2 linked regions of the Lepisosteus oculatus genome follow. The protein of the gene in region 2 interacts with the protein of the main gene of each other region in a pairwise test. Links are inferred from orthologs where the notes say so. Each region holds a gene or a part of one and is shown on either strand. Other genes may lie near its edges.

What was found. The genes of interacting proteins can lie anywhere in the genome.
Region 1: the proteins of lmna (region 2) and iffo1b interact in binary tests that used the Homo sapiens proteins (3 or more experiments, as listed by UniProt). The link is inferred for Lepisosteus oculatus from reciprocal best matches to the Homo sapiens genes LMNA and IFFO1.

What each region holds. Positions count from the first base shown.
Region 1 is NC_090718.1:3,683,010-3,686,760, forward strand, and holds the start of iffo1b (non-homologous end joining factor IFFO1), read left to right. Parts: upstream 1-1,403; 5' UTR 1,404-1,692; coding exon 1,693-2,705; intron 2,706-3,751. UniProt on the Homo sapiens protein: Nuclear matrix protein involved in the immobilization of broken DNA ends and the suppression of chromosome translocation during DNA double-strand breaks (DSBs).
Region 2 is NC_090722.1:3,108,316-3,112,066, forward strand, and holds the start of lmna (lamin), read left to right. Parts: upstream 1-1,118; 5' UTR 1,119-1,255; intron 1,256-3,751.

The DNA of each region.
Region 1 (3,751 bases), on a different chromosome or scaffold from region 2:
ACCGACCACTATGTCTTTGGCCTCTGGGAGGAAACCCGAGCTCCCTGTGGAAACCTACAGGAAAATGGGGAGAACATGCAAACTCTACACAGACAGCACCCCAATTCTGGATTCGAACCCAGGGCTGCAAGTTAGCAACGCTGACCACTGTACCATCACTTTGCTTCACGTACACAACGCCTCCACTCGGCCAGGACTAAAGACCAAATAGATTCAGTTCTTTTCCCTAGTCGGTACAGAACATTTCTTTGACTGTATGAATGTTTCTAGTGACTTTTTTTTGGCTAGACTTTAAAAAAAAAATGTCTTAGGACCCCTCTTCTTATAGTGACAACAAACGCTTGGGATTCCAAAAAAAATTAATCTATAAACCAGAAGAGCCCAAAGACGAGTACTGTTCTCCCAGTACTGTCCTTAAAAGTTAATCTGTCTGTGCCCTGCTCTTCCCCAACCCAACTCGGACTCTCGGATACCCAGAGATTCTGAACAGAGAGGCTTTTAAAAACGGCACGGGCGTGAGATTCATCCCTGTCCTTCGGGGCGGCTCTCCGGAACTCTCCTGCAGTGAAGAGAGCCGCACGCCGGCTGGACACGAAGAGGTCATTTTCATTGACCCTGGCCAGCCCCTCATCTCGCACTAACCTAAAATGACTTCGGGATTGTTGCAGCCGCGCACAAGTGATTACAAAAAACAAACTACGCATTCATCAGTCGGCACAGTAAAACCTGGGCACTTGGTGTCCCAAACACGCACCCCTCAGAAAACCACGCACACGCACTGTACAATAATAAGACCGAGCGCCGCAGGCTGCATTCCAGTTGTGTTGACTCACTGACGTCAATGGCATGCTACCGTACTGATCAGATAACACGAGCGATGAAAAATAGGGCTGTTTCTTTGTCCCGGGACATCGTGGCAGCAATATAGGCAAAATGTTCCAAACGCAAAAACCCACAAGGATGCATCCGTTTTCAATAACGGATCAGTCCAGGGTTTCCCAATCTTGGTCTACGGGTTAGCTGAGCTCCTGACTGAAACGAAGCCTTCACTGAACCAGCAAACACGTCGCCTGGTTACAACCTTCGCAAGTTTTTTTTTATCCAGCTCGGAGGGCGGATATTTTAAGTTACTCATGAAATACAATAGTTAAAAGTCAACCTCCTACACGTTTCGGAACTGAGAACACCTACAGAGTTTAAATTGACCTTATTAGTAGGTGCATTCAGGGTGAAATTATTTGAATGACTGCTCATTTGGACCCTTTCTACAATGGTAGGGACGTGCAGACTCCACACAGAAGGACCTCCGGGTCTGGCATCAGAACTGGGGCTCGGGAGCTGTGTCGCGGAGGCGCTATTTAAAACAGCTCGACTTTTTCCAAGCAGCGCGGGGGGGGAGATGCTTGAAAGAGGTTGCTTATACTCGCAGACATACGATGGTGAAAAAGCCGCATTCAGCCATTTTTTTCAAAACAGACAGCAGTCTAGCGAATAACGTTTAGCTGGGCTTCGCATAGTTAGCAGCCAGCTTTAGCGCACTAGTCGTGTGGCTTGGTTACAAAATACGCTTTTATTCCAGCTGTTAGCGGACTTTGCTTGCAGTTTATTGTGTCTGATTTCATCTCGGCGTCTGCCTGCTCTTCTGAATATTCGGATTTAAAAGCATACATACTAAAAATAATTATAATTTTCATGCCCGATTTGGAGCGCTTCAAGCTGACCCATACAATGAATCCTTTATTAAGTGCCAACGTCTTTCTGCTACAGCAACAGCAACAACAGCTTCAGCAACAGCAGCAGGCGGCCCAGCAGGACTCCTCGGGTCTGCTGCCGGACCCGGCTCATGGCGCAGGCGAGCCGGGCTTTCTCTTAAGCGAGCACCAGGGCTTTGCGGCCGACTCCCTCCCGGGGCTCGATTTGAGCTCCCTGCCGCCCGGGCTCGCTTACTTCCACCTCAACAACCCCCTCTACCGGCCCCCGCCTCCTCCCCCGGCCATGGCCCTGCGGAACGACCTGGGCTCCAACATCAGCGTCCTGAAAACGCTCAACCTGCGTTTCCGCTGCTTTCTGGCTAAAGTGCACGAACTGGAGCGGCGGAATAAGATTTTGGAGAAGCAGCTGCAGCAGGCGCTGGAAGCCGGCGGCGGGGGAGGGGGCCTGGGAAACGGAGACGGGAGAAGACCGGAGACCAGGGAGCAAGGCGTCCAGACCGGCTTTGTCGGGCCCATCTCGTTCCGACCCGGCTTGCTCAACTTCCCCAACTCCAACAGCTCGGTCTACCGGGGCCCGAGCGTCTTTACCCCAAGTCTGACCACGGTGCTGACCCTGGAGCCCACGAACCTGAACCCGGACTCGAACTCGAACCCCGATCCGAACTCCAGGTCGACCTCTGCGGCCGACGGGGCCAACGCCAACACCACTACCACCACCACCACCAGCACCAGCACCGGCACCAGTACAGGGACTAGCTGCGGCGTCAACTCCACCACCAACCCGCCGCCCCGGTTCTTGCCCGGGACAATCTGGTCCTACAACCACACTCGCAAAGTTGGCCCGGGTCTGGAAACCCGGGTCACCGGCCCAGGCGTGTCCTGGGTCCACCCGGACGGAGTCGGGGTTCAAATCGATACTATAACACCCGAGATCCGTGCCCTGTACAACGTGCTGGCTAAAGTGAAGCGAGAGAGGGACGAGTACAAGCGAAGGTTGTTATTATTATTATTTTATTGTTGTTATTATTATTGTTATTGTTTTATTGTTACTGTTTAATTCTCCTCTAGGGGCGCCTTACGGCTCTAGCGACATAGTTGTTGTACTATCGTGGCCGTGCTATAACGTTCTCGGGTCGATTTTTGCTTAATAATTGACCGGGATCTAATGCGGGTGTGTGATGGTGTCTCTTTCTAGATGACTTCATCTCTACAGGGTAGCTGTGCATAGGACATCTGCCCATGGGTCCATATGGGGTCTCTCAACTTTTTGTGTAGTAACACACACAGTACATATGTCTTTCAGTAGATCCACAGTGTCCCTTGGCTTAATCAGGGTCACATATCAGCCTCCCGCTGCGCAGCGGTCTGCTCCGCTCCAGGTTTTACCAGCTGCAGGGGCTCTTGTAGGGATGCCAACAGCAGGCATTTCAACACAGGCCTGCCTGCTGCTTTGAGTGTGAGTCAGCTGCCACTGTTAAGCAGGCGAGGTGTGTGCCTCTGGGGTTTTTGGGAAGATGTGTTCTCGTTCTTGGGGAAAGATCTGCTCTTAAACGTGAGGGCGCTAGGGGCCCGGGGAGAGTTTCTGGTCCCGTTCCTGTCACTTCTTGCAGTCGTTACAGAGGAGCTTGGTCATTCCACTAGAAATCCGGGGTGCAAATGTACCTCTGTTGCTTCTAGAGGGAGAGAGTCCGGGCTGCTGCTTTACTGTCACAGGCTGGGCGTGAAACCGGCCAGCTGTTTCTGAGCAATTCCAAATGGGAAGATTGGGGATCCGGCAGACCGACAGGACGACCCCCAACTCTGTGCCCCAAGACTGCCAACAGCCATGTCACCCTGCAGCTCCCAGCTGGCAGCCCCACTGGAGCTCAGCAGTGTGAGTCTGGCCAGTACCTGGATGGGAGACTCCTGGGAGAGCTAAGGCTGCTGCTGGAAGAGGTGTTAGTGGGGCCAGTAGGGGGCGCTCAGCCTGAGGTCTGTGTGGGTCCTAATGCCCCAGTATAGTGACTATACTGTAAAAAGGCACCGTCCTCTGAATGAGA
Region 2 (3,751 bases):
ACAATCAGCCCTGTGTGAGTCTGTGTGACCTGCGATGGACTGGTGTCCTGTTCTGTGTGTGTGTGTCCTGCGATGGACTGGTGTCCTGTTCTGTGTGTGTGTGTGTGTGTGTGTGTGTGTGTGTGTGTGTGTGTGTGTGTCCTGCGATGGACTAGTGTCCTGTTCTGGGTGTGTGTGTGTCCTGTGATGGACTGGTGTCCTGTCCAGGGTGTGTGTGTCCTGTGATGGACTGGCGTCCCTGTGCCTGCTGCTCATCTGGACAGGCTCTGGCTGCTCCCAAGACCCTCAACTGGAAGAAGTGATTCGAAAACAGCCGGATGTCATTGTAATTTTAAATTTGACTTAAGTGTGCATCAATTCAGGTTGTGGAACAATGTGTATACATGGATCAGACAATTGGATTGGTAAGAAACACACAAAAAAGGGCAGTTTGAGTTTAGCTGTGCAGAAGGGGGTCTAATTAATTTCCCCTAAAGTATTTCTTAAAATCTGAGTCTTAGGGCTTCTTATAACAAGCCGTTGGATTAACTTTGAAAATGCAAGGGAAAAAGACAGAAGTGTCTTTTTTTGCACTGATATTTTACTGAGCATATATGATATAGGTCAATTTATGTTTTATATTTTAATGTAGTAGCTTTTAGGATCTCAACCCAGCACTGACATGTGGCCCTTTTGATCATATGTGACATTAATATCTAATTAATAGACATTGAATTAATGTTTGCTGGTGCAATTCAGATACGTGACATTAATTGACAGACTTTGATTTCATATTTGTTGGTACACCACTCAATATAGAGTAAGTCCTCATTTTAAGGACTACCACATTTAATTGACTATTGAGAACGCTTTCACATACAACACAGACGGCAAGTGATCGAACATTGGTCCACAAGGGGGCAGTGTGCACAAAGCAAAATAATTTCAGAGCAGCAAAAAGCCACATCAGTTCCCTGGTTATTTGTATAACACCGACGGTAGATAGGGATCTTTATTGTCTTTCATTTACATTTCCGAGATTGATAGTAGGGACGCACACAAATGAGACGCTATCTTTGATAACGAAATCGTTTTAAAACGAGGTTAGCGGTCGCCAGTGCGCTTTGGGTAGCGTACCCGTCATCCCGCGCGAGTGGTCAGCGGCGGTTTTCTTGAAGTCTCCCCGAAGATTAATCGGGATTTAAATGAAGAAACAAACAGACAAGAAGTCACCGAGTCCAGGAAATCGGCGGATTGATGCCGGCCCGGTTCTCAGGTAAAACGTCGCCCGTATTTTCTCTGTCTGTCGCTTGTTATCGCCTGTTCGTCATGAACTTGTCTCCCTTTGCGTGCTCGACTCTCTTTGAGAGAGATTTCCCCCTCGCCCCTTTGCAATGCGGGATCTGGAAGTAGCCCTTCTGAAAAGCTTGTATTGACTGAAGCCAGATGCTCTGTGCGCTCAGAAAGCAATGGTATCAATTACCCACAATAAGGAAATTAACACCTGCGCATGACCCAAAACAAAACAGGAGGCAAATTCGACACTATTTAAATGTGCGTCGGGCTGTGTAGGAGAAATGAGAAAGAGGCAGGTGTTTCTTTGAGTAAAAGTGGCTCATGGCGTCGGCTAGCTCGTCCGTCCTGGGGGTGTTCGGACGAGGGTGGCTGCGGGTTTAAAGTTTGCCGCTATCTGCAGGAGCCCAGCTGTGCTCCGACAAATAATTCTGCCCCAGAATGAGGTGCCCAGCTTTCAGGTTACAGTAGTTGTCGTTCCTGCGGCTTGAAACGGAAAAATCGTTTGTGAAAGTTTTCTCTTTCGTTTCCGTAAGAAACTAGTAATCCACGTGTCGGGAATGAAACTTGGGCCGTGAGTGTGAGTTCTTCACACTGGCCGGTGAAGAACCGTGTGCGGAGATTGTGTTTGTGAGCACGTTAAAGGCGGGTCATCGAGGCGCCTCTTGGCTCAAATCATAACATAACTTTATTAGCCCTTTACAATTTCTTGCATTAGGAATTTGTCTTTTCACATACTCCAGCTTGCTCTCCTTGAGACACACAGACGGGGAGAGAAGCTGGGGGTCAGAGCGCAGGGTCAGCCATTTATACGGCGCCCCTGGAGCAGTTGGGGTGAAGGGCCTTGCTCAGGGGCCCAAAGGAGTAGGATTCCTCTGCTGGCTGCCGGATTTGAACCGGCAACCTTCCAGCCACAGAGCCACCTCAACAGCTGTTAGGGGTTTCTTCCCGGATCTCCAACATCGGCCCTCCCAGGACACTGTCCTGACGACTCGGGCAGTCAGCCCCTTGTGATGAGGTGGACTGCTTCTGGCCTCAGTGGATGCAGTGAAGAAAACATGGCTGTACTGTGACATAAGGGGCACAGGGAGGGGAAACAGCACAGAGATGGGTCTGAAGTGCAGTAAAAGAAGTCGTATATGTTTGAATTGCAATTACGATGCTTGAGAACCGGTGTTGGATCCTACAGCTGTACTACCCAGTAGTAACGTGTTGGCGATCACCACTAGATGGCGGTACGGAGCCGCGTCGCGCTCTGTCTGTGGCCGTGTTCCCAGGTCTATAAAAATATATTTGACACAATGAAACCCCGAGAACTGGGCTCCGCACCAAATGCAACTTGAAACTTGTACTTTTATTTTTTAAAATCTTTTTGCTCCAACTGCTCTCCCCGCCCCCCCTCCAGGCAAATCAACTGACTGCAAAAATCGGCCGTTTGAAACTGTGCTGCACTACAGAGGCAGCTTAGCGGTATTCCAACAGTATCCGAATACCGTCTCTTTTGAAATGAATTCGTGTGCATCAATGTCAGCGTGCAGAGAAACAACATTCCCAGGAGAAAGACCAACGGGAGCTGGCTACACAAACAGGGCATGCTCCTCTGCTTCAGGGCTCTGAGTGGGCAGTTTTGTGATGGAGAAGGTGGTTTTCTGATCTGCGTACAAAAGAAGGGAAGAGTCCAAATACTTCATAAATAACTTAAGAAAGGTCATTAAATAACTGAGTTTAGAGTGTCTCCTTATTGGTTCATATGACATTTTTCTTAAATTGTTACAGCTGTACCAGTTGGTGCAGCTGGATGTCTTATTGGAACAATCTGAGAGGATGTGTTCTGCTCAAGTAGGCAGGGACTTGAACCCAAGCCCTACTGCACCACACTGCTTTGTTGAAGGCTCAGACCTCATTTGAAATGGGGTCCCCACCTGCAGTCTTTGTGGGTCGTAGTCCAGGACGTTCTTGGGAACCGTTTGAACATCAAGAGCTAAAAAGGGCAATGGGGAGGATTTAAACGGTACTATTCAGCATAAAAGTACGATTAAGACATTTTTAAAGATGAACACTTTTCTTTAGCTCAGATGCCAATCCAGAGGACGACTTCGAGGCCAATAGAGAAACCAGGGTCCAAGCAGAAGCTTAGAAGACATTGTGTTGAGCTCTGGGACGGGAGGCGCTTCCTTACACCTAGAGTTGTAGGGGTGTGGAGCAAACTGCCTGGTCATGTTGTACAGCCCAGTTCAGACAGTTCCTTCAAGAAACAGGTCGAAGGAAGTCCACTGATTGTTATTGATTTATGGATCATTATCAATCAGTTTCTAGCAAACAAATGAGTAAGATGAGCCCCCTCTCTAACTCTTCTCTGGTCCTGGTGTTCTTTCTTGTGCTGTTAAGCTGTTGGTGTGAATGAAGCACGAAGCTTGCTGGGTTAAGACCCCCGGTGTCACAGGTGGGGTCCCTGCTTTGCGAGGCCGGATGTTTGTGC